Regions from separate parts of the Mus musculus genome. Here regions 1, 2, 3, 4, 5 and 7 are each reported to be linked to region 6. Evidence: microRNA targets listed by miRTarBase, many of them from high-throughput screens and not tested one by one. Region 6 holds a microRNA gene; each other region holds the end of a gene's coding sequence.
The links. Region 6 holds the annotated microRNA mmu-miR-9-5p (UCUUUGGUUAUCUAGCUGUAUGA, at 988-1,010, shown strand). A microRNA usually pairs through its seed, bases 2 to 8, with sites in the 3' UTR of a target mRNA and lowers its output. Matches are read on the target gene's strand: a 7mer-m8 pairs with bases 2 to 8, a 7mer-A1 pairs with bases 2 to 7 and ends in A, and an 8mer does both.

Region 1: the mRNA of Pdhx is a reported target of mmu-miR-9-5p. The part of its 3' UTR that is shown has no 7-base or 8-base seed match.
Region 2: miRTarBase lists Polr3k as a target of mmu-miR-9-5p. Seed matches in the 3' UTR shown: 7mer-m8 at 1,569-1,575.
Region 3: miRTarBase lists Cdc14b as a target of mmu-miR-9-5p. The part of its 3' UTR that is shown has no 7-base or 8-base seed match.
Region 4: miRTarBase lists Plscr3 as a target of mmu-miR-9-5p. Seed matches in the 3' UTR shown: 8mer at 2,045-2,052.
Region 5: the mRNA of Rundc3b is a reported target of mmu-miR-9-5p. Seed matches in the 3' UTR shown: 7mer-A1 at 1,464-1,470.
Region 7: miRTarBase lists Elovl5 as a target of mmu-miR-9-5p. The part of its 3' UTR that is shown has no 7-base or 8-base seed match.

The regions. Positions count from the first base shown.
Region 1 is chr2:103,019,148-103,022,242 of GRCm38, reverse strand. Pdhx (pyruvate dehydrogenase complex, component X) reads left to right here. Exons shown (of 11, transcript NM_175094.5): 11 at 1-1,188. The coding sequence ends at 232. Among named protein-coding and RNA genes, the nearest start is that of Pdhx, 53 kb to the left of the region's middle.
Region 2 is chr2:181,867,930-181,871,024 of GRCm38, forward strand. Polr3k (polymerase (RNA) III (DNA directed) polypeptide K) reads left to right here. Exons shown (of 3, transcript NM_025901.3): 3 at 275-2,901. The coding sequence ends at 402. Among named protein-coding and RNA genes, the nearest start is that of Polr3k, 5.1 kb to the left of the region's middle.
Region 3 is chr13:64,202,560-64,205,654 of GRCm38, reverse strand. It overlaps Cdc14b (CDC14 cell division cycle 14B), which reads left to right. Exons shown (of 14, transcript NM_172587.3): 13 at 238-384. The coding sequence ends at 352. Among named protein-coding and RNA genes, the nearest start is that of Habp4, 42 kb to the right of the region's middle.
Region 4 is chr11:69,849,823-69,852,822 of GRCm38, reverse strand. It overlaps Plscr3 (phospholipid scramblase 3), which reads right to left. Exons shown (of 8, transcript NM_023564.4): 7 at 2,650-2,811; 8 at 765-2,479. The coding sequence ends at 2,423. It overlaps Tnk1 (tyrosine kinase, non-receptor, 1), which reads left to right. Exons shown (of 14, transcript NM_031880.3): 11 at 1-10; 12 at 538-848; 13 at 930-1,025; 14 at 1,108-2,260. The coding sequence ends at 1,221. Among named protein-coding and RNA genes, the nearest start is that of Plscr3, 4.7 kb to the right of the region's middle.
Region 5 is chr5:8,489,746-8,492,840 of GRCm38, reverse strand. Rundc3b (RUN domain containing 3B) reads left to right here. Exons shown (of 11, transcript NM_001347311.1): 11 at 252-2,505. The coding sequence ends at 397. Among named protein-coding and RNA genes, the nearest start is that of Slc25a40, 68 kb to the right of the region's middle.
Region 6 is chr3:88,214,626-88,217,720 of GRCm38, forward strand. It overlaps Mir9-1 (microRNA 9-1), which reads left to right and starts at 973; the gene lies at 973-1,061. The region is part of intron 2 of Gm3764 (predicted gene 3764); the gene reads left to right. It overlaps Mir3093 (microRNA 3093), which reads left to right and starts at 546; the gene lies at 546-632. It overlaps Gm25641 (predicted gene, 25641), which reads right to left and starts at 1,045; the gene lies at 988-1,045.
Region 7 is chr9:77,982,323-77,985,417 of GRCm38, forward strand. Elovl5 (ELOVL family member 5, elongation of long chain fatty acids (yeast)) reads left to right here. Exons shown (of 8, transcript NM_134255.3): 8 at 343-2,197. The coding sequence ends at 486. Among named protein-coding and RNA genes, the nearest start is that of Gm34829, 4.0 kb to the right of the region's middle.

The sequences.
Region 1 (3,095 bases), not on the chromosome of region 6:
CGATGAGTTCGCTGCAGTGATTAACCCGCCTCAGGCCTGTATCTTGGCCGTTGGGAGATTCCGCCCCGTGCTGAAGCTGACGGAGGATGAAGAGGGGAACCCTCAACTGCAGCAGCACCAGCTTATAACGGTCACAATGTCAAGTGACAGCCGAGTGGTTGATGATGAACTAGCTACCAGGTTTCTTGAAACTTTCAAAGCAAACCTAGAGAATCCCATGCGACTTGGGTAGCCTTCAGAGACCAGGCGCTTGATTGGGTGTTCAGTATGGAGTAGATGAAGTGCGTATTTATTTAAGGCGAAAGCTTTGACCTGAGCTGTCTTCCTCTCCCCTGTACATGTACTGTAGAAATGTGTGATGACAAACGGACTAATAAAGAACATTTGGTTGGTCAGATCCACTTTTAACCTCTGGTGCTGTACAGAAGGCATTAAACTAATGTAAACTACATCCTATGTTTGGTTCATTTGAAATTTTGGAATAATTGTGAATGTATGATATTGTAAAATTAAAAAAATATATAGAACTGTCCCTTAATCATATTGACGTTATAACTGGGCTTCAAAGAGATGTCTGTCTATATTGGGGCCTCTCATTTTTTATAAGCTCTTGATATACTTGAACAATTTAATATGTACAGTTAGTTTGCTCTGGATTAGTATATAAGTACATTTTATTAGGGGTTGTGACAACATTATTAAACTTTTGTGTATATAAAGCCAGGTGTCTTAGCTAGATATATTTCCAGTCTTTTAACTTTGACACTGTGAAGCTCTAAGGATACAATAGGAATGAAGACAGAGGAAGAAAAACTAAAGAGTCGTTTGTTCAGAGACCTGACCTTATAAAGTTGGGGGAGCAGCTGGGTTTGTACCTATAACCTCAGCCTTTGAGAGAGATTGAGAAAGGAGGCCCGCTTTGAGGCTAGCTGGGCTACGCGGTGAGGCCCTGTCTCACAGAGGCAGGGAGAGTGTTTTACTGGAAAAGCTGCAGTTGATCTCAAATTGAGCAGCGAGCTTTCATGCTCAGTTGGAATCTAATGAAATAAATTCTCTTAGCATACATTGTAAATTTGTATTGTTTTAAATACAGTATTGTTTGCTGAAGCATTGTAATCAAGTTTGTATTGTACAGTCAAATGTAAGAAAATAAAAAAATTCTAGTCTACTTTGATATGACATGCAAAATAGAAGAGTGGCAAACAAGCTCACCATGGTGGTTTGCGCCTATAATCTTAGTACTTGGAAGACTAAGGCAGGGTTCCCATGAGTTCAAGACTAGCCAGAGCTACAGAGTGAGATCCTGTTTCACAAGAGAGGAGACCTAGGAAGGAGAACAGATGGGAAGTAGTGCTCATCTACTCCATCAGCTGAGCCAAATTGTCCCTCATTATCAGTAACATTAGAACTGCTTCTTTCTGTTGGCAGCTCTGGCAAGATAACGATATTTAAATGAGATGGTAATGAATGGTAATTTAATTCACCAGTTGCAGAAAGTTTCTCCTTAGTGTCAGTTGACATAAATCACCAGAAAAAAGACTCCATGGTACAAGTTGTATTGAGTATGACATGATGAACTATAGCCCTAACAAAGGAGCCTTCAGAAATAATTAGTGCCCCAGTATATCTCTTGTTAAGAAAAATATTTAATTCAGTTATTCGGTTTTAACAAGCCATTTTAAAATGGACTCTTCAAACTTTTGTCAGATTAACTTAAAATTATTACCAAGCACCGTTTTCAAAATAGCTTTTACACTTGCACTACTTTCAAGTTCAGTGTGGCTGAAATGTTTTTAATACTGTGTGAGTGTGTGTTGTGTGGATGTGGATATAGACACATGTTCCCAGGTGTGTAAGGCAGAAAACAACCTTGGATTCTTGCTTTCCACCTTGTTTGATGTATGATCTCTTGCTCACTGCTGTGTACACCAGGCTAGCTCCTGGTAATTGTCTTGTCTCTGCCTCCATCTGCCTGTAAGAACAGGTAGGGTCATGGTGTCTGTCTTTCAGGGTGTTAGGTTTGCATGACGAGTGCTTTTACCCACTGAACCCTCTCCTCAGCCCCCTTTTCTAATTTTGACATCTGAGGACTTGAACATGAGACAGCCATAAGTAGCTCTTTGCTTGCGCTCTGTCTTCTGTGGGCCGGTATCACTAGCAATAATGCCTCCATTTCCTGTAGCTACAAAGGAGGTTGGTCCCCATCCAGCTTGGACAGAGGCACTGTTTATCTGAAGCCATTTATTTCAGTTCGTGGGCAACACAAACCTAGTTGCCTCCCTCTCATGGTTTCTGTGATAGTTAATAAGCAGTGTAGAAGCTTTCCCCGTTTGATCAAAAATAATTCCTCTAGCATCTCTAGCAATTAGATTCCTGTAAGCAAATTGTCATTTATGGAAATAATCCTATTGCAGCATGAGGTCAAGGAATGATCTTGATTTGAAGGAGTGTGGATACATGGTGTGAGCCATGTGTGCATCAGCAAGACTGTCCACCACCACACTCTGTTTATAACAGGCAAATATACTGAGACAAGGAAAACAACCTAAGCATGAATTATGAGGGAAAAGCATCATTCATCTTAGTGTTTAACCATTAGTCATGGAAGTATTAATGAACAGTTACCTCTGTTAGTCAGAATGGGCTGGTTTCTTTAACTACACTTCCTACTTAGTAGCTAAAAATGAGTTTGTCCACTATTTTCTGTCACATTAAAAATGTCTGGGTGCTGCTGACCAGACTTGAATGAAACATTGCCAAGTAATTTATAAATACTGTTAAGAGTGTTCACATAATATCGAATGGAACTTTTTCTTTTTCTTTTGTTTTTTACTTATTTGCACTCTGAACCTACCTTTACCAGTAATTGTTTAAGCAAAACATAAGTTCTGGAAAAGAAGCCTTGTTTCCCTACTTTGAAAGGTAGGTGGTGCTATGAGTTAATATATTGTCATCCAAATAGAGAAACTGCATGGCTTTCGGTCTCAGCTTTCAAAGACATTCTGTTCTCATGACAAGGTTGTGTCATGATGGACGCGGGCTCCCTTCGCAAAGTGAAGAAATGAACTTATGCAGATTAAAAATTACACTTGAAA
Region 2 (3,095 bases), not on the chromosome of region 6:
TGAAACCCAGGGATAGAAGGGGAGGGGGTTTCAAAAAAAAAACCTTTAAACATCTACTCATTTTCAAATTTCAAGGCTTTTGTTGCTTTTATAAAACAAGGTCTCTCTAGTCTCCTTATTATTGATGTGCTGTGGGAAGGATGTTGCTATTGGCAAACTCACCATTAGCTGGAGTAAGGGAGACCATAAGGGAGTCTAGCTGAGCATGGAGATGAGATGTTTACCCACACTTAATGTTTTTGTAATGTGGATAACTTGCTTTTCTGTTTGTCAGAGCCATGTCCAAAATGCGAACATCCCCGTGCCTACTTCATGCAGCTTCAGACGCGTTCTGCAGACGAGCCAATGACCACCTTCTATAAGTGCTGCAATGCTCAGTGTGGACATCGCTGGAGGGATTAAGGGCAGGACTTGCCCAGCTGCAAGCATGAATTTTGTGTGTACTGAAGGTCTTTGCTATATGATAGTAAGCTGACTTTTCTGTGGTGAAGGATCAGGGTGAAATATAACTCATCTGCAAGTTAACAGATAAAGTCCTTGATGTATAGGGGCCGTCAGGTCCTTGGGAGATACACATAAGGATGCTCACTTGGGTTCAGGTCCTGTTCCTTACCATTCAAACTAGGAACTTGGTTTATAGTCAGTAAAAATAAAAATTATTATTATTATTTAGTTTTTCAAGACAGGTTTTCTCTGTGTAGTCCTTGCTGTCCTTGTTATGTAGACAAGTCAACCTTGAACTCAGTGATCCACCTTCCTCTGCCTCCAGAGTGCTGGGGTTAAAAGTGTGTGCCATGACCACCAATGATAACCTTGAACCTTCTAATCTTTTTGCCTCTTGTTGGAAAAGTGTTAGGGTTATAGGCATGTGAACTATTTTCATTTTATGCAGTTCTGGGGATTAAACTCTAAGCCTCATGCATGCTAGATAAGCATTCTACCAACTGAGCTATATCTCTAGCCCTTTTTTTCTTTCTAGAGAAATTATGAAAAATACTTATAAAGATACTGAAAAATCACTTTAAAAGTCTGGAATTACTCGATTCATCTTGTATGATTAATAACTAAACAAAACTATTCTGTGAGTTGGACTTTCTGGATGATTTTGATAGGAATTTTAAAAAGTAACCAAAACCATTTTCTATTACCTGATTTGGAGAAAGGTCTACAGTAGAGCTTGTGCCCCATTTGAACCCCATCCAAAAATCTATTTTAACCTCAATAAATTTAGAAAAGTTACATATTAAGGCTATGTGAAGAATGAGCTTATATATGGACCAACTTCAGATGAGAGTGTCTGAGAGTATCTCAGAGAGCTCACAAGCACGAATTCCTCTAACAAACAAGAGTAACAGAAAAGTTGCATATTTGTTGAAACCACTAATGGTATTGCTCTGTAAGGTGGACATATTTGTATGTGGGAAGTCCTGGTCTGTTCTGTGTAACTGGACAGTTCTACACATGATAAGAAATGTAGCTAGTAAGGAAATCTAAAATAACAGATTCCTCCCATGAGTATCTGATGTTTTCAAAATCCTTAAATAGTGATATAGATGAATAATTCATAAACCAAAGCTGACTTTGAAATTTTTGATCTCTGGTTGCTTTCAAGCCTTTGGAACTTTGTTGCTTATCTCCTTTAAATAACTCCGTTACAAAGTAGAGCCACGAAGTCTTCTTTGAATGAGGTGTATTGAGTATTAAAGCACTTGTATATGCCAAGCTCTGGCCTCAGTTCTTGTACTGGATGGCAGAGGTGTGTGGAAGAATGAGGATGTTTACTGTTGGTGAGGGTTAGGACATTCTCACCTTGCTGGTGGGAGTAGAAGATGGTACAGTATAGGAAGGGAAGATAAAGCCCCATGCTTCTGCCTGCGTCAATCTCAGTTCGTTCAGTAAACTTTTCTCAGCAAAGCTGGTATTTTGATTATGTAGCAGGATTTTCCCTGTCCAATTAATTTAATTATTAATACAATAAGAAGCCTGTGATTGGACAGAGTTGTAGAGATAGGGAGCCACAGAGGAGAAGAGGAGGAAGAAAATGGAGGACAAACAGGACAATTCAGATTCTGCGTGGCTTTAAATAGCCACAGGTAGCTGTAGTATAGGGATAGAATAATTGGGATAACTTGTCTAATCTAGGTGGGCAGCTTGTATCATCGATTGACTCTGAAATTATTGTGTGGGTATCTTGTGAATTGAGAATTTATTGATATATAAATCTGACTAATTATAAGCTTCTAGAGTTTTGATTTTACTGTGTTACTAGGAATTGTGACAGCTAACTGGAGGTAGGTGGTCATTGCATGGGCTGGTGTGGCAACAACCCCCCAAGAGAACTTGGCGAGTCAGGTGGAGTCTGCTGAGATAAGAACACCCCTTTCGGGAACTTGCCGTTCTTTTTAATATTTCCCACAACAGGATTAGGCCTCAGAAAAGAATTTCACAATAATTGGGTCAAGTATCCTAAAAATAGCCATGTTTATGATTTGGGTGGCCTTTTAAGAGGATTGTTCAGTAATACTCCACCCCCACCCCTATTTTCAGATCACAGAGTGATTCTGTAGATAACAAGGATTCAAACAGTTCTTAATATATCACGTTACAAGGGAGTTAAGGTTTAAGTTTTGACTGTCAACAAAGAAACTATCTTTGTGAGTTATAGACTTACAGCTGGGAAAAGTTAAACTCAAAGGTCATGTGTTAAAACTTATTATTGGACTAGAGAGATGGCTCAGTGGTATAAGAGCACTGGCTGCTCTTCTAGAGTTAGGGTTAGTTCAGTTCACAGCAGCCACACAATTGCTCACAACCATCTGTAATGGGATCCGATGCCCTCTTCTGGTGTGTCTGAAGACAGCAACGGTGTACTCATACACATTAAATTAATCTTTTAAAAAATTATTAGTGCATATAAGTGTGGTAGTGGGTAGTGATGAGTACATGTCACGACACTCATGCATAGATCAGAGGACAACTTTGTGGAGTTGGTTATCTGCATTTCTTTTTGTGGGTTCTGGGTATCAAACAGGTTTGCGATACCGAGCCTTTTACCCACATATTTCATCTTCCCAACCCTACCCTGAGTTCTTTTC
Region 3 (3,095 bases), not on the chromosome of region 6:
GATGGAGTCTAACCATTTGTTCCTGTGTGTTGAACCTGTTTAAACTAAAGTCAGCGTTTTTGTCTCAACAGAAGCTGGACCACCACCACCCTTGTTTCCTGCCCCTTTGCCATCACAGTCGCTGCTCTGGGCCTTTTAGGGTGTCTTAAATCCACAGGTGGCTCTATGTATTTTATTATATGATTTATTTTGGCTTCCCAATGTGAACATCTGTTCTTTCCCTTCCACCCTCTCCAGATGTCCCCTAGCTGTGCTGACCTCTGCACTGTGTAGTGTTGCCATCTGGTGGATTGTGTGTGACTACATTCTTCCCACCCTGCTGTTCTGTCTTGATGGCTTCAGAACACAGTAGCCATCTGGACCCTTTGACAGATAGTTTGCTGTGTAAGTTTCCTGTTCCGTTTCTCTCCTACCCTCCCCCCCACCCCCCTGTGTCCTGTGTGGTTCCTATGGTGTATGTGTTTCTCCTTCTGGCTCTCCTAGCTTTGTTGTTTTGCTTGTTTTCCAGGGCTCTCTTTCCGAATCTCTTCAATGAATGGGATGGTACCAGCAGGGGAGGGCCTCAAGGAGCCTTCTGAGTCAAGGATGTTAAAAATAACACCTAGTTTTGAAAAGTTGTACTAGCTATTCATAAATGTGGACATTGGAATAGTTTTCTCACCTGTCAAAAAACCAGGTAGTTGAGCCAACCAGCCTGGTTTCGTGTCCACCAGGGGGCTGTATTCACCTCTCGTGTTCAATGCCTGGAATGTGTCTTCAGTCAAGTGTGTCTCTCACCATTTCTGCTTTTAGCAAAGATTGGGCTTTGTTGCCTTAGAGGCTAGTGAGGATGGTGGCCCAATCTCTTCAGGTCACCTGTCTTGAGTCTATAGAACTGTCCATTCTTTCATCACATCTTCTTTGTGTTAAGTGAGAAAAGGAGAGGGGTAGCTGGCTGTCTCCCTTGCTTGTGTTTCTATAGTCTCTGGACTCTTCCTTCTCTTCCCCAAAATAGGCAGACCATCTTTGTTAGATTCTGTACACAAGTGTAATCTCCTGACATGTCATTCTCTCAAGGGAGACACTTGTCAGCAGAAAGCAGCAGAAAACCTCTGTGTGTAACATCACAGCCCAGGAACACAGAGGGAGACATGTGCCACACCACCACCATCCTCTATCTGTTTTCTGAGACCCTTCTTCATCATTTCATTCCAAAAATTTACTTTTCTTGTACCAGCTTGGACTTAGAGATTGCCAAAGCATTCAGAATTCCCTTCTAGGATCTCCTCCAAGTGAAAATCTGTCACAGCCAACCCTTGCCCTTTGAGGTTCTGTTGAGAGTTTCATGTAGCTAAGAAAGATTTAAAAAGGAATCAAGAGTCCACTAAAGAAAACTTGCTGAATAAATACTTATTTACAGTGGTGTTTCCTTGTATATCTTAGATGAGTTTATAATCTCACATTTCACTTTTTTTTTTTGCCCCCTCTATCTATTGAAGAACAATGATACCTTTTATAGTTAGTTCTTCCCAAACTATTCTAAGTGGCCAAGATGTTCTGAATGGGTAGGTGGAGTTGCTGCTAATAATATTTGTCTTCAGGCCCAGCTTAAATGTTGCTTTAAATGTTACTTCTACTGGCGAGCTCCTCAGAGTCCTCTGCAAGAGCGTTAGATTAGTCCTGTAGCTTATGTCACCACTACGTTTCCAGACCAAAACAGGGTGTTCCGTTTAGCCTGCCTACTGACTTGAATTAAAAGCTTTCTGTGACTGAGGTAGGTAACAGTGTGGTCTTCATAGCCACTCGCTCTTGGTGTGAGACTCTTCCCAAGAGGCTTAATTTGTGGGTAACAGTTCACTGCTCTGTGGTGACTGGCCCTGCTGTGAGCTGGTAGGTGAGCTTTGCCTTGTAGTGAGTTCCATCAGCTGGTGGCCTCGAGCCTAAGACCAGAAAGCATTTTATGTTCTCTATCTACTGCACACAGTGGGGGACAGTGCTATTAGAGAATGGTTCAGGGGCTTGTGGGGCATCCTACAGAAAGCTCTGTGGCAGTGATCCTCTAGAAAGCCATCTATGCATTTTGAGGCTTGGCAGGTCACTCCTGGTCCGTAAGACTGTTTTTCTAACTTTGCTGTGCATCTCGTCATTGTCAGTGTCTAAAATCTGCAGCTGCTGCGGCTTTAGAAATACCACAGACAGGGCAGCAGTCTATGGTTTGGGCACAGGGTCAGGAGGATGAAGGCAAACTTGGTTGGGGAAGAGAGAGAGAAAAGAAAAATGTATATTTTGTGTATTGATAGGAAGAACCATGTGAGCAGGGCAGGTGGCCCTCTCGTTCTGTCTGAGCAGCTCTGGGGCTTTCTCACTTTATTTAATGGATTAAGTGTTTGCTCAGGCCAGATAACCTAAGGCCTCCCCGGTGTGGTTAATACGTACTAAATTTCCTTCTGAGTTTTAAAGCTCCACAGAAATTAGTAACCACTAATATCATTATTTCACATTTGTTTACAACTGTTTCTTAGAAAAATAAATCAAGCAGTAGTAGATCTTTGTTTTGTGTAGCATTTAAGCATTTCAGTAATTTAAGAGATCAGGAGTAGGTTTCCTGAGCAGGCATTAGAGTGTGTGTGTGTGTGTGTGTGTGTGTGTGTGTGTTTTAAAAGTTACCAAGCGTTTGCCCTCAGATGGTCTGAGATGGGGGAGTGGTGGGCGTTACAGAAGAAGCCACTCATTTTTCTCCCTTGTAAAGAAGCAGCAGAGGGAAATGAAGTACACACACTGCCAGAAGCCTGGAGAAATCAGCAGGTGGATTTGGTTGCCTTAAAGCAACATTCTAGATTCATGTCCTTATGAGATAAATATTTCCCCTGTGATTGTATTAACAGAAATTGTAACAGTTGGATAAGAGAAGTAGCATTAATACTCTGTATAGCCCAGTACAGGGTAACCCTGATCAACAACTAACAGAATTTTTTAAGGAGAGGGTCTTGGAGGTTCCCAACATGAGGTATGATGTATAAGGCTATGGCTGAGCCAGCCAGTCCTCTTATTGTTAACACATTATGTCCGTATAAGTGAGTCCGCATGCCCAGTAACTATGCATCTTGATAATATGC
Region 4 (3,000 bases), not on the chromosome of region 6:
AGGATGCGAGGTGGGTGTGGTGGTACCCAGGGTCTCAGGAACAACTTTCCAATTCCCCTTCCCAACTCTGAATCCGTACCTTTGTGTATATGATTTCCTTCCTCCAAAGATGGTAATCTTTGGACAGATTATTTGTTTTGGCTTTTTGAGACATAGTTTTTCTGTGTAGCCCTGGCTGTCCTAAACTCATTCTTGTAGTCCAGGGTGGACTTGAACTCAGAGATCTGCCTGTCTCTGCCTGCCCAAGTGATGGGATTAAAGGCGTGCGCTATCTCCTCCTGGCGCACTTTGAGATTTAAGATTAGAGGTGCTCCTGATTCTCCACTGGGCAGCAGCTCCTGGCTTTGGCTCTCACACTGCTCTTTGAGCCTCTAGCTGTCTTGATTCTGTTTGCATACCATCTAACACACAGACAGCTGAGGACAAGGCCAACCAGCTTACCTAAATATCCTTGCAAAATCACACAGCTCAGTGCAGATAGTCAAGAGAGCAGGGAGGTGGGCCTCCTCCTATAGCATTTCTTTCTCAACTCTGAAGGCATTTCCAAGAGTCTGGAATCAGTTCTGTCCCTGGGCCCTAGACCCACAGGAGGTGGTTCAAGTCCTCCAGAACTTCGGCGTACAAGAGCTATGCCGCAAAGACTCCCAGACCTACCTCCACGCCCACCAGACCTGCCTCCACGCCCACCTATTATCTGCAACTCTTCTCAGCCCACCCAGCCCCACAAAGCCCGGCCCAAAAGAGAATCCTCACATAATCACCGCACTGGAGCACCTGGAGCCAGCAAAGCCACTGTCCCCTCTGGAGGTCCCTTGTCAGACCCCGAGTGGCAGAGGAAGGTTGTAGAGGTGAGGGCTCACTGAAATGACTTTATGTTCAAAGGGCCTGTAGGTTGACACAAGGGCTAAACAAAGATTTGTCCTCCGCAGGTAGAGCTGAGTGTGCATGGTGTCACCTACCAGGAGTGCCAAGTGGCACTCAGAACCACTGGGGGAGATGTGGCTTCTGCTATCCGGAACCTCAAGGTAACGCTAACCCCTTCTGCAGGTTCCCCAGTCGCCTGTTTGGCCCACTAGTGGTCAGCTGTCCTACCTCCTGCTCACACAGGTAGACCAGCTCTTCCACCTTAGTAACCGGTCCCGAGCAGACTGTCGTCGCATCCTGGAGCATCACCAGTGGGACCTGTCAGCAGCCAGTCGCTACATCCTAGCCCGGTCCTGAACTCTGTATCCTCAGGGATGGACACCAGCATGGGTTACCTGGTCCACTTAGGGCTTGGCCTTACGGACTAATCAGAACATGAGGTCTTGACGGAGGCACGCTGAGGGAGATTTACCTGCTGTGAGGAGTGACAGGAAGTGTATAGGGCACTCAGGTACTGGCTAATGCTTCCTCCGAGCCCTGCTCCTTGGCCTCTGAAGGGACCAAGACCAAGTCCACTCTGCCTACTATATTCCCAATTGAACAGGACTTGAAAGAAAAAGCTTTGGAGGAGGCCTCTACTCACTACAGACAAGGATCAAGTAGCAATACCGGATCACTGACCAACCGTCGGAACTGTCATTAGCTACTTCCCTAAACTCTATGGGGCACCCAACTTAGATATTGACTTGGGAGCTGCTCTGGTTTGGTCCAGAATCACTATGGGTGATGAAAACTAACTTTTTGGACTCAAGGACTTTTTTCCTTTAATCCAAATAGTGTAGATTATACAGGCTGGCTGACGCCGCTCCCTTTGTGTTATCCGGTATCTACCCTCTCCCATCACATCCGGCTTCTACTGTTTAAAAAGTTTCAAAGTTTATATGAGTACAACATACAAAGACACAGCCTCCTTCCTACAGTAGGGGAAGGAAGGGGTTAACGGTTAAATAAGGCACAGGAAGCTGCAGAAAGCACCCGCAGGGCCCAGGGGCTTAGGGAGTTGGCACTGGGGCCCAACCGCTACAGCTATTAGTGAGGAGGCAAGGATCCCCTCAGAGTGCCACAATCGGAAGCTAAACTAATTGGCTAAAGTGCCATAAGGGAAGGGTGGTGTCTGCCATCTTTGGTACTGCTTGCCTTTTACCCACAAGCCCTGGGGTAAAACTTGAGTCCAGGATTCCAGATGCCCCTGCCTATGCAGAGGCCCCAGAGGAAGGCTGGAAGGAGTGTGCAAGGAAGTTTAAAAGCTAATGTGTGCACAGGCACTGCCTGGAGATGGTGAACAGAAGGAGGAACAGGTCTCATACATGCTCTTCTGCAGGGCCACAGGAGAAGCAGGGAAGGGATGGGACACAACGGCTCCCAACCACTCGGCCACCCTCGTCGGTCCGCCGCAGTGTATATCAAGGAAAGGGTTGCTTCAGGAGGGAACGTCCAGGGCAGCTGACCATCTTAAATTCTGGTCAAGGAGATGGGTCTCCTCATCCTGAGGTGGCTTCTAACTGGTGATGGCAGAGGGTCCTGCGCCTCCTCTCTTCTCGAAGAACATATAATCCTAAGGAAAGGTCACCGTCAATGGGAGATCTGGCTGGGTCTGTGTCGATCAGCTCTTAACTTAGCTCTGAACCTGCAACCCACCATACGTGTCCCTGACCTAGTAAGGGTCCAGGGAACTGAACAGAGCGTCTAATAACAGGAAGGGAAGGGCAGGGGAAGCTAACTCACGATGAGGAACGTGGCTCCCAGCAGTACGGCCTTCACTTTCACATCTAGATCGACTGGGAATTGGAGGCCAAAGTCATCGGCATCTGTGAGGGCTTCTCGGAGCAGCCCTCCCCACTGCTTGCTGATGCGGCCCACACTTCGCGATTCATCCTTAGTCTTCACCTGGCGGGAGGGAAGAAGGACCCGACTGGGGAAGATGCTGACAGTCTCACTTGCCTCCTGTCTCACTCTATAGGTACATGCATGAGTTGTGTAGACTGCTCAGGAACTCTTCGCAATAGCGTTGGGTTTCTATATGACAGCAGAAGGGAAACTGAGATACCCTAGGTTACATAAGCACACAGTGAGGAT
Region 5 (3,095 bases), not on the chromosome of region 6:
TAAATAAAAGGTAAACTACATTTTTACTCCAAAATGCGTTATCTCAAACTACCATACCAAGATGTTTTACGAGAAACATAAAAACACTAATATTCTTAGAGGAGGTATTAGAAGCTGCTGCCGGGTAAAATAGGTTTAGCGGCATCGATACATTGTCACTACTCCAGAAGCTCTGGGAGTTTCTCCTGGGTTTTGGTCTTGCAGTGATTCATGAAACTGTTACTCTTGTGTGCTTGTGTCTTAATGTCCAGGTAAAGAAGATACCCCCTCACTTCTTGGCCTCTGTGGGTCCCTGACATCAGTGGCAAGTTACAAGTCCCTAACAAGCCTAAAATCCAACGACTGCCTTGCAAGCCCCACCACGGAGCTAACCAGCCCAGGCCTGACTCCATCCTGAAAGACTACGTAAAAACCCAAAGTTTCTGCATTGTAAATATCCTGTTTACATAAGTTTGGCTGCTGGGAGATTTTGAAATTTTATATTCTGGTACATGCGTAACATTTTGTTGTTTGGAGATTTTAGTCCAGCCCATGTAAATTTCTGAGGGAAAAGCATAGTAGTCCCCTATTTTTCTTTTTAAAATATTACATTTGTCACTGAGGATGTTTAAAGTTGATTAGGCTTTAAAAATCTTTCAAAGAGTGTCTGAATTCATTATAAATTGTACATAGTTGTTATTCAGCTGAATTTTTATATTTGTTTAAATGCGTCTTGGTGTCCAGAGACCAGGTCCAGGTTTTACTCCAGAGACTTAAGCTTAGCAGTTTCTTTCGCTCCTTTATTTGGTGGTTAAATTTGCACAAAAGGCAACTAATTCCATGAAGTACTTCCTGCACTCTGATGTCTGTGTACCATGCTGTAAGGGGAAGTCTCCAGCCACAACTACACAGTGGCTCGTTAAGCTTTCCTTTTACCAGTTGGTACCAACTTTTAGCATTTCATAAAGTTTGTAGAATTGTGCCTTTTTAGGCGGTTGCTGACTTAATTTGTCAGGTATGGAGGAAAAGCATCTTTTCCCAGGTATGCCTAAGACATTGGAAACATTTCAAACTTCAGAACTAATGTTGGCAAGGGGTTACTAACCTCAGAAGTTTCCAGTTTAATGAATGACTTGATAATGATTTTTAAAGAGCTGCAGAGTAACCAGGATGTCTGACTGTGGATATACATTGGAGCTACAATGCTATTTTCCCTGTGTGCAACAATGACTTACATACTGGGTGTTTCATAGCCATTACCACTATGCCATGATTTCTCATTTTTCAAATTGATCTTAGTGTTTAAAAAAAAACAAAACTATACTTCTGTAGGAAAACAGGTTTTTTAAAAAGAGCTGTGTTTCAATTTTTTTTTTTACAATTTTTAAAACAGCTACATGTGTCCCTAAAAATTCCACCCTATTGAAAATAAACACGTATGAAGTGTGTATTCTATAGTGAGTCCTAGGAGGAAAACAAGTGTGCCAAAGACATTTCCTATACTGTTTCATGAAGGGGCCACAGTGCTCACTCTTGTCTGTTGATTTTTATATTTAAACTTAGCAGCTGTGACAAGTAGGAAGTGCATCCCTCCTAAAGCTTCCTGGGGAGTGCTGAACTCACAGGTTCACTCCTTCTATCCAAAGTGTAGGGGTGGGAGGTTCTGGGAAGTGCTTGGAGCGCAGTCTCATGGTGTGGAATCAATCAATAGTAACATGACCAGTGTCACATGTGAGGCAGTGCAGACACTAATCTCTGGGGCAAAGGAGGCCTGCAAGCTCATGACAGACATTGCATCGGGTGACTCAGAACAAACTGAGCAATTTCTTCCTGAGGCTGATGCATTAAAACAGAGCACCTCCATCTTCTCTGATCTGTGTGCACCATATTAAGTGTACAGTGGCCAAAGCCACGTTTAAGTAGTGTCAGGAATAGCAAATAAAGACAGCAGGCCTGCAGCAGGCTGCATGAGGACTTAGATGGTCATGAGAACATTGGGAATTTAGGCTGGCCGTGGGCGCACCTCTACTTTCCTAAGAAAGTCAAAGTGTTTACTGCTTTATCACCACGGCCTGCTCTCACCTGTCATTTATGATTTTTCAGATATAAAACCTTGGTAAGATCTTTTCATACATTTTTATAAAGTAGAAGGGAATACAAGATTCCCCAGTTGGTACACTTTTTCAGATCTGTCCGATAGAAGCACTAGTTTGTGACATATCCCTGCTGCGAACTGCGGACTGAGACATGACACCTGAGGATCATGGCTTTCCCTCCATTATTGGAGCTCTTGATATAAAGTTCATCTGCTACTGTGGAACCCAAGTTTCTGCAGTTGGTTTCGAGCTACAGGCAGTTTGTAACGCTTGCATGAGTGAACAGTGTCTCAGTCTTTAATTTTCAGTGGTACTGTTTATTTTTCAGAACTCCACAAAGAATGCTGGCTATGTCTATCTTTCCATCTGTATTTTGTTGCCTCGATGTACTATATTTGTTGCATGTATATTAAAGATTTTTTTAACCATACAGTACTGGTCTTTTTCCTTGACAAATATAGTTACCTGGTTCAAGTGTTTACTGAACTTCCATTTCAGCACATAGAATAAATATTGAGGACTAATTAAATCCAACACACTAATGGATATGATTGGAGAAAACCCTTCTGTTGAGATTGAATATTATACATACTTTTAAAATATTCCTTATATAGCACATGACATTTTGAGAGTTACTGACTACATATAGGACAATGGTCCCAAGTAACTGAGAGAAGTTGAAAAATTCCTATCCCTTAGTGACATCACAACTCTCTAATATAAAACTGACAGAAATTCTGATATATTCTGAATTTCTTATAATTCAAGAACCAAAGAGTAGAGGGAAAGATAAAGTCCAGTCAACTCGTAGTTTACAGGCAAAACCCGGACACGGTTATAGTCATGGCCTGGAAATATGTTAACATGTTGCCATCATGTGGCCATATGATGTAATTAAAATTTGTAGTAAAGAATATAAGGCACTGAGTATAAAACAGATGTCTCCTATATTCCTTTATTCATTTTTTTGAACCTCTCCAGGAGCACCAGGACTGATGTATAACGGACTTGGGGATTCTT
Region 6 (3,095 bases):
AAGACCGCGCAGGACACTACCACTGGGCATCCTGGGTTTGATGTAAGTGGCCTGACCCGCGTGGGGCACGAGGTGGGGAAAGCGCCTCAGAGTCCAGCGCGCGCGTCCGCCACCTGCGACCACGGAGCTCTACACCCTCTGCACGGTCCCTGGACCTCCTTCCAGTGGGTTCAGTCCAGATAGCCCCCTCCAGCCACTAAGGGCATCTCTCACTCAGACCCCCAGTGGCATATTTCACATCTCTGAATGATTTCGGCTGCGTTTTGCACAAAACCGGCTCCCGCGCGGTTCCGTAGGTCCAGGGCTCGGAGCACCTGCCTGGTCACCCTTTGCCCTAACCCGCAGCCCCACGTCCTGACTGCTCGCCCGATTCTCTCTGGGTGGGGTCTTTGCCCTTGGGAGAGTCGCTGGGGAGTCTCTAGATCACCCTCCACCCCGCCGCCAGCCACAGGCTTCCCTCTGGGCCTCGGGGTTCCCCAGTGCTGGGGTTCCCGTCCGGGGCTTCGCGGCCGCTCCCCTGCAGTCGGTAGCTCGGAGCAGCTCTGCGAGCTCGGCTCTGCCGCACCCCGCGGAGCTCACACTCGACCTTCCAGAGAAGGGTGTGGACACCGTGGGAGGTTGGGGAGGCCTCGGCCTAGGCTTCTGCGGTCTTCCCGGATGGCACGAAGGCCCTGGAGCCTTTCCACTAGCACCGGCGGAACCCTGCTTCTGCACGGAGGAGGGAGTGGGAAATGGGCGGTCAGGCTTGGGGCCGCTTGGTTTCAGCCTAGATTCCCGACCTCAGAACCGTCGGCGGTAGCATCTTTTCCTCGCCTTTCTGAGGTCTCGTCGTGATAGTGCGTGAGGTCCTGGATCCCATCTTTTCGCCTCCACACCACGCGCGTCCCCCATCCGCCGTCGAGCGACTCGAGACTACGGAGGTCCAGGCGGTGGCCGGGAGGCTGCGTGGAAGAGGAGGAGGCGGCCAGGAGGCGGGGTTGGTTGTTATCTTTGGTTATCTAGCTGTATGAGTGGTGTGGAGTCTTCATAAAGCTAGATAACCGAAAGTAAAAATAACCCCATACACTGCGCAGAGGGCCTGGAACGCTGGTAGTGGCCGAGCTGCAGGAGGGAGAGCCGTGCCAGGCGTGCCTGGAGGCTGGAGGGCTGGGGGGAGGGGGACTCGTCGCCTTCAAAGGTTGCTCAGCCCGAGCCACCTCGCGATCCCCACCCGCAACCTGCTCACCTGGGAAGAAAGCAAGAAGCCGCTCTGGGGTCGCCTCTGGAGGCCTGGTCAAAATGGAGCAGTCTGGGCCTCAGTCCGGAGAAGCCGCTCCCGGGAGAGACAGAGCCCTTGGCTGAAGGGTTGGGGGGAAAGTGCAAGCATCCCTCTCCCGGTCTCGACGCATCCCGGGAGCGGGTGGCTGGTGTGAGCAGCTTCCCTCTGGCTCTTCGAAGCGACTGGTGGAGTTCGAGGTTCGTAGGATGTCTCTAGAAAGCTGGTTTTTGCTTTGGTGGTTTCCCTGAAGCCCTTCAGCTTTACTGGGAGTCAAGATTGCCCAGGTGGGAACAGGTCTAGGAGCGGGGAAGGCTTAAAAACCAACACACACATCGAACTTATTAGGGAGAATGGCGATGCAGAAACAAAGTAACCACAAGGGCAAGGGCCAGAGTGGCCAGAGACCTTTTTACCCCACAGGAATTCTGGGACCCTGGGGCGCAGGTTCTTTGCTTTCACTTTGGCCTTCAGGACCAGAGCTAAGTCTAACTGAACTCTCTCTGGCTGCTTTGTCATTAGTGGCTAAAGGTGTAGAGTTGGGGTGGGGGGCTTTAGAGCATCCCACCTTTCGGTCCTAACCTCACTCTTGGAAATCGTGTCCCAAAGGAACAAATGGCCTCAAGGAGCTCTGTGGAGCTCAAACACAAAGGAATGTGTAGCTGTGCTGCCCAGAGAACGCAAAGAATTAGAGAGATTAATTTGGGCTCCTGTAAAAAGAATCTATTTATCTTGCCTGACCTAAATATTTTAGTGAAAGAGGGTTTCTACAGCTGAGAAGATGGTCTAACAAACATGGCCAGAGCTAGGAATCCCCTCTGCTCTCATGGCCCTCAGCCGAACTTGACCAGCTGGCACTTGGAGACCTGGGCTGTACCGACTAATAAGAGGCAGAAAACTGGGCAAAATGTCATCACCCAGACTCCGCTGGTTCTTATAAATTTAAAATTTCCTCCCGGGACCTGATTTTACAGTTAGAAGATAATGATTCAATTTTGTATTACATGGGGGGAAATATTAGAGAATCCAAATTCAAATTCTGGGACTTCAGGGAATCTATTGCCTGTGTGTGTCTTCTTTAGCAGTTAGGGGAGGGAGAGTCGAGTGGCCTCTTAAATTCCAGAAGCTTGGAATTTGTTTTGTTTTGGTAGGGGTGGTGGGGATGAAGCTTAAGTCAAGGAGAAAAGAGGCTGGGTCTAGGCTGGAACTAATGGTCTGGCCACAGCCTGTTTTCTTTTTCCGCTGCTTGAGAGATGCCATGTGATCCCATGTTACACAGGCACAAGTGAGCAGCTGACATTACTCACTGGCTTGACACTCAAAGCTCCTTCCATTTACTCTGTCTTGGAGAAAGTGACACTCCCCACCCCAAGGGAGCCAACTGGGAAAGTAGAAAGAAGGGAAGCCTCTCTGTTATTGGGAATTTGCATGGGCAGAGGAGGGGCATCAATAAAATAAGCTTCCTTATCATTACCATCTTTAATGTTTCCTGTATAGTGTCTTCACTGTAAATTCCAGGACAGCCAGGGCTACACAGCCCTCTATCATAGCACAGGCCTATAATCTGAGCAGTTGCAAAGTAGAGGACGAAGGATCAAGAATTCAAAGTCATCCTTGTCTACACAGCAAGTTCTTGGGCATCCTAGAGTCCCCCTAAACACACACACACACACACACACACACACACACACACACACACACACACACCACATATTCCCAGGAACACTTAGAGTCTCAGTTGCTAACCACAGTAGTTTTATATTATTGTTTCCCATGAGCACATTGGATCACAGGCTCTTCAAAAGAGAGTAGAAGGCTTTAGGAAAAGGAGGAATAGAGG
Region 7 (3,095 bases), not on the chromosome of region 6:
GAAAAACATAAAGATAAGTAATGGCTTGTGATGTAGAGTGGCTACTAGCCAGGAGGAGAAGCCAGTTTGGTCCCCTAGGCCATTGCTCCACCATCCACATCCTGAAGAGGCAAAGCCGAATGAACAGAAACTCGGTGTTCTAAGTGTTTCTGTTGTGGTCTAGGGGGTCAGAACCTCTGAGCTAAGCCTCAAAAAGTCGCAAGGGTGATTGAACATAAAGTGGTTATTTGAGCACAGGAAATACGTGGTGAGACTGATCAGACCAGGAAACCAGGCCTAGTGAGATACAGACCGGTACAGTTCATCTGGTTAGCAGGCACTGATTCGCCTTGTACATTTCAGACTTACAACAAGAAAGGGGCCTCTCGGAGGAAAGACCACCTGAAGGGCCACCAGAACGGGTCTGTGGCCGCCGTCAACGGACACACCAACAGCTTCCCTTCCCTGGAAAACAGCGTGAAGCCCAGGAAGCAGCGAAAGGATTGACAAGCCGAGCCGAAGCCTCCAGACCGCGGCGTGTGATTGTAAGCACAGCGTGACTTGTGCCCTGACGCTCATAGCAGCTGCTGTCACTAGTCTGGCCCTACTATCTGCAGTGTGACTCATGTAGGACCTTCTTCATCAGTTCAAAACCCCTAGAATATGTATACAGATTATACAAAGTAGGCATACGATTTTCTCACATTTCTGGGCTCTCATCGACCCCCGCGCTAGACTGTGGAAAGGGAATGTTCTTGTAGTATACAACACTGCTGTTGCCTTATTAGTTGTAACACGATAGGTGCTGAATTGTGGTTCACAATTTAAAACACTGTAATCCAAACTTTTTTTTTTTAACTGTAGACCATGCATGTGATTGTAAATTTGTACAATGTTGTTAACAGTAGAAAAACACACATGCCTTAAGACTTAAAAAAGCAGGGCCCAGAGCTTGTTAGTTTAATTAGGGTATGTTTCAACTTTGTATTATTCATTTGTATTAGCTCTGTTTAGAAAAATCAAATGTATGATTTATGAAACAAGTGTGTGATGTGTAACTTCAAGTGACTTGGAGATGCGAAATCTGATGGCACCCTTGGTTTTATAACGATGGCTTTAAATAAGCAGGTTCAAGTCTAGTGGAACAGTCAGTTTAACTTTTTAACAGATCTTATTTTTTTATTTTGAGTGCCACTATTAATGTGTTTAAAGAGGTGGGGAAAGGGTCCAAAGCGTCTGGAGACACTTACGTACCTGTCCCTGGTCCCCCAGAGGCTAGGGTGACTATAAGAGTAGGTCACTTTTCACTTCTGAAGTGCTTAGTGTTTTTATACAGGAGATAAAAAGGCCATTCGACTTCCCACCACTTGGAGAGAGAGAACTACCTTTCAGGAAAGGTGACGAGACATTTATTATCTGACAGACACACACACACACACACACAGTGATAAGGGACTGGTTACCTGGGTCCACATTTTTTTTTATTCTTTTCTGTAGTGCTACTTTGACATACACTTCCTTTTAAAATGTGCCTAATTTACCAAGAGACCAGGAAGCACCATAAGCATTTTGAGGTAAAATTTAAGAGCTGGAGCGCGCAGGAACTGGGTGTTTGGGAGCAACCGCTTTTTTCAGTGTGAATCATGGTGGCATCTGTAATTTTTTTCTGATTAGCACCTAAAGATCGGTTTAAAGTGCTTGGACTGCTTATCCTAAAATCGTGTCTAGTGCGCTCGAGGCATCGGTCATACAAATGGGGACTCTTTTCATGTGTGTCATTTTTAAAGTGTTGAAAGCTTAGCCTTTGAATACCTTCTGCATTGGTAAAAAATCCATGGAACCACTCATGGCACATCTTAGGAGATGATTGACAATGTATAAACTAATTGTGGGTTTGATATTTATGTAAATACCAGTTTACCATGCTTTAATTTTGCACATTCATATTACAAGGAGCCAGTTGGTCCTAATTAGCCTTGTGGGTTTTCTGTTTGGAAGGAGTTGCGGCATCTGTTTACATTTCCCTTGTCAGATCTAGAATGTGTGTATGTGTGTGTCTTCTCCCTAGGTACCCGTCTGCAGGTGTCTTTACATATCTCAATACAAAAATTATAACATTTGATAGTGTGCTGTCAAAGTGTGCTTAGCTCATCTGGATATACCCACACTGTTAAATAATGTCTAAACATTAATCATTAAAACCTTTTTGATTACCCGTGCTGTGTCTTCTGTTGTTTGATGTGCTGACAGTTCTGAAAGACTGCAGGATGGTCAACTCTGTCACCTTGTAGGAGCTTAGGGAGTGGACATGAGTAATGTAGCGTGGAAAGTGGTTGTATCAGTTGGGGGCTCTCTAGAGAAACAGAACTCATAGAATGAGTGTGGGGGTGGGGGGAGGATTTATTAGAATGGCTTACAGGTTGTGGTCCAGCTAGTCCAACAAGGCTATCTACAGACAGAGGATCCAAGGATCCAGTAGCTGTTTAGTCCACGAGGCTAAATGTCTCAGCTGCTCTTCAGGAAACACGGGTTCCAGAGCAGTCGCGTCGAATGCCAGCGAAGGATTTGCTTGAGTGGACTCACTAGCAAGAGTGAGAACAAGCAGGCAAAGAGAAGAGGGCTTCCTTCTTCTCTGTCCTGTTTAGAGAGAGGCTGCCAGCAGCAGGTAGGGCCTGGATTAAAGGTGGGTTTCTACCTCAGAGATCCAGATCTCAAGTGGGTCTTCCCACTTCAGATGATTAAGGAACAAAATCCAGCACTGGCGTAGTCAGTTTGAGTTGTAGTCAGTTCTGCATGTGGTCAAGCTGGCAACCAAGAATTGCTATCACCTCCCATGGCAGAGGACCCCAGAGCATAAATCTCAGTGTCTTCCAACAACCCTAGCTCCTCCCCTGCACCCCTGCTAGAGGGTTCACCTCTGAGCACGCTCCTGCATCCTCCTTTCCTTCCTGGCATCCCATGCTCTTCCCTCATCTGCAGACTGTTAGAGTAACTTCTCGTTGTAGGCAGTAGGTCTGCACATTTTTCTGTGAAGAGCAAGAGAGGGAGCACTCCAGTTTCCGTGGAAGCTACTCATCTGAGCCATTGTAGAGTACAAAACAGCCACAGGCACGAAG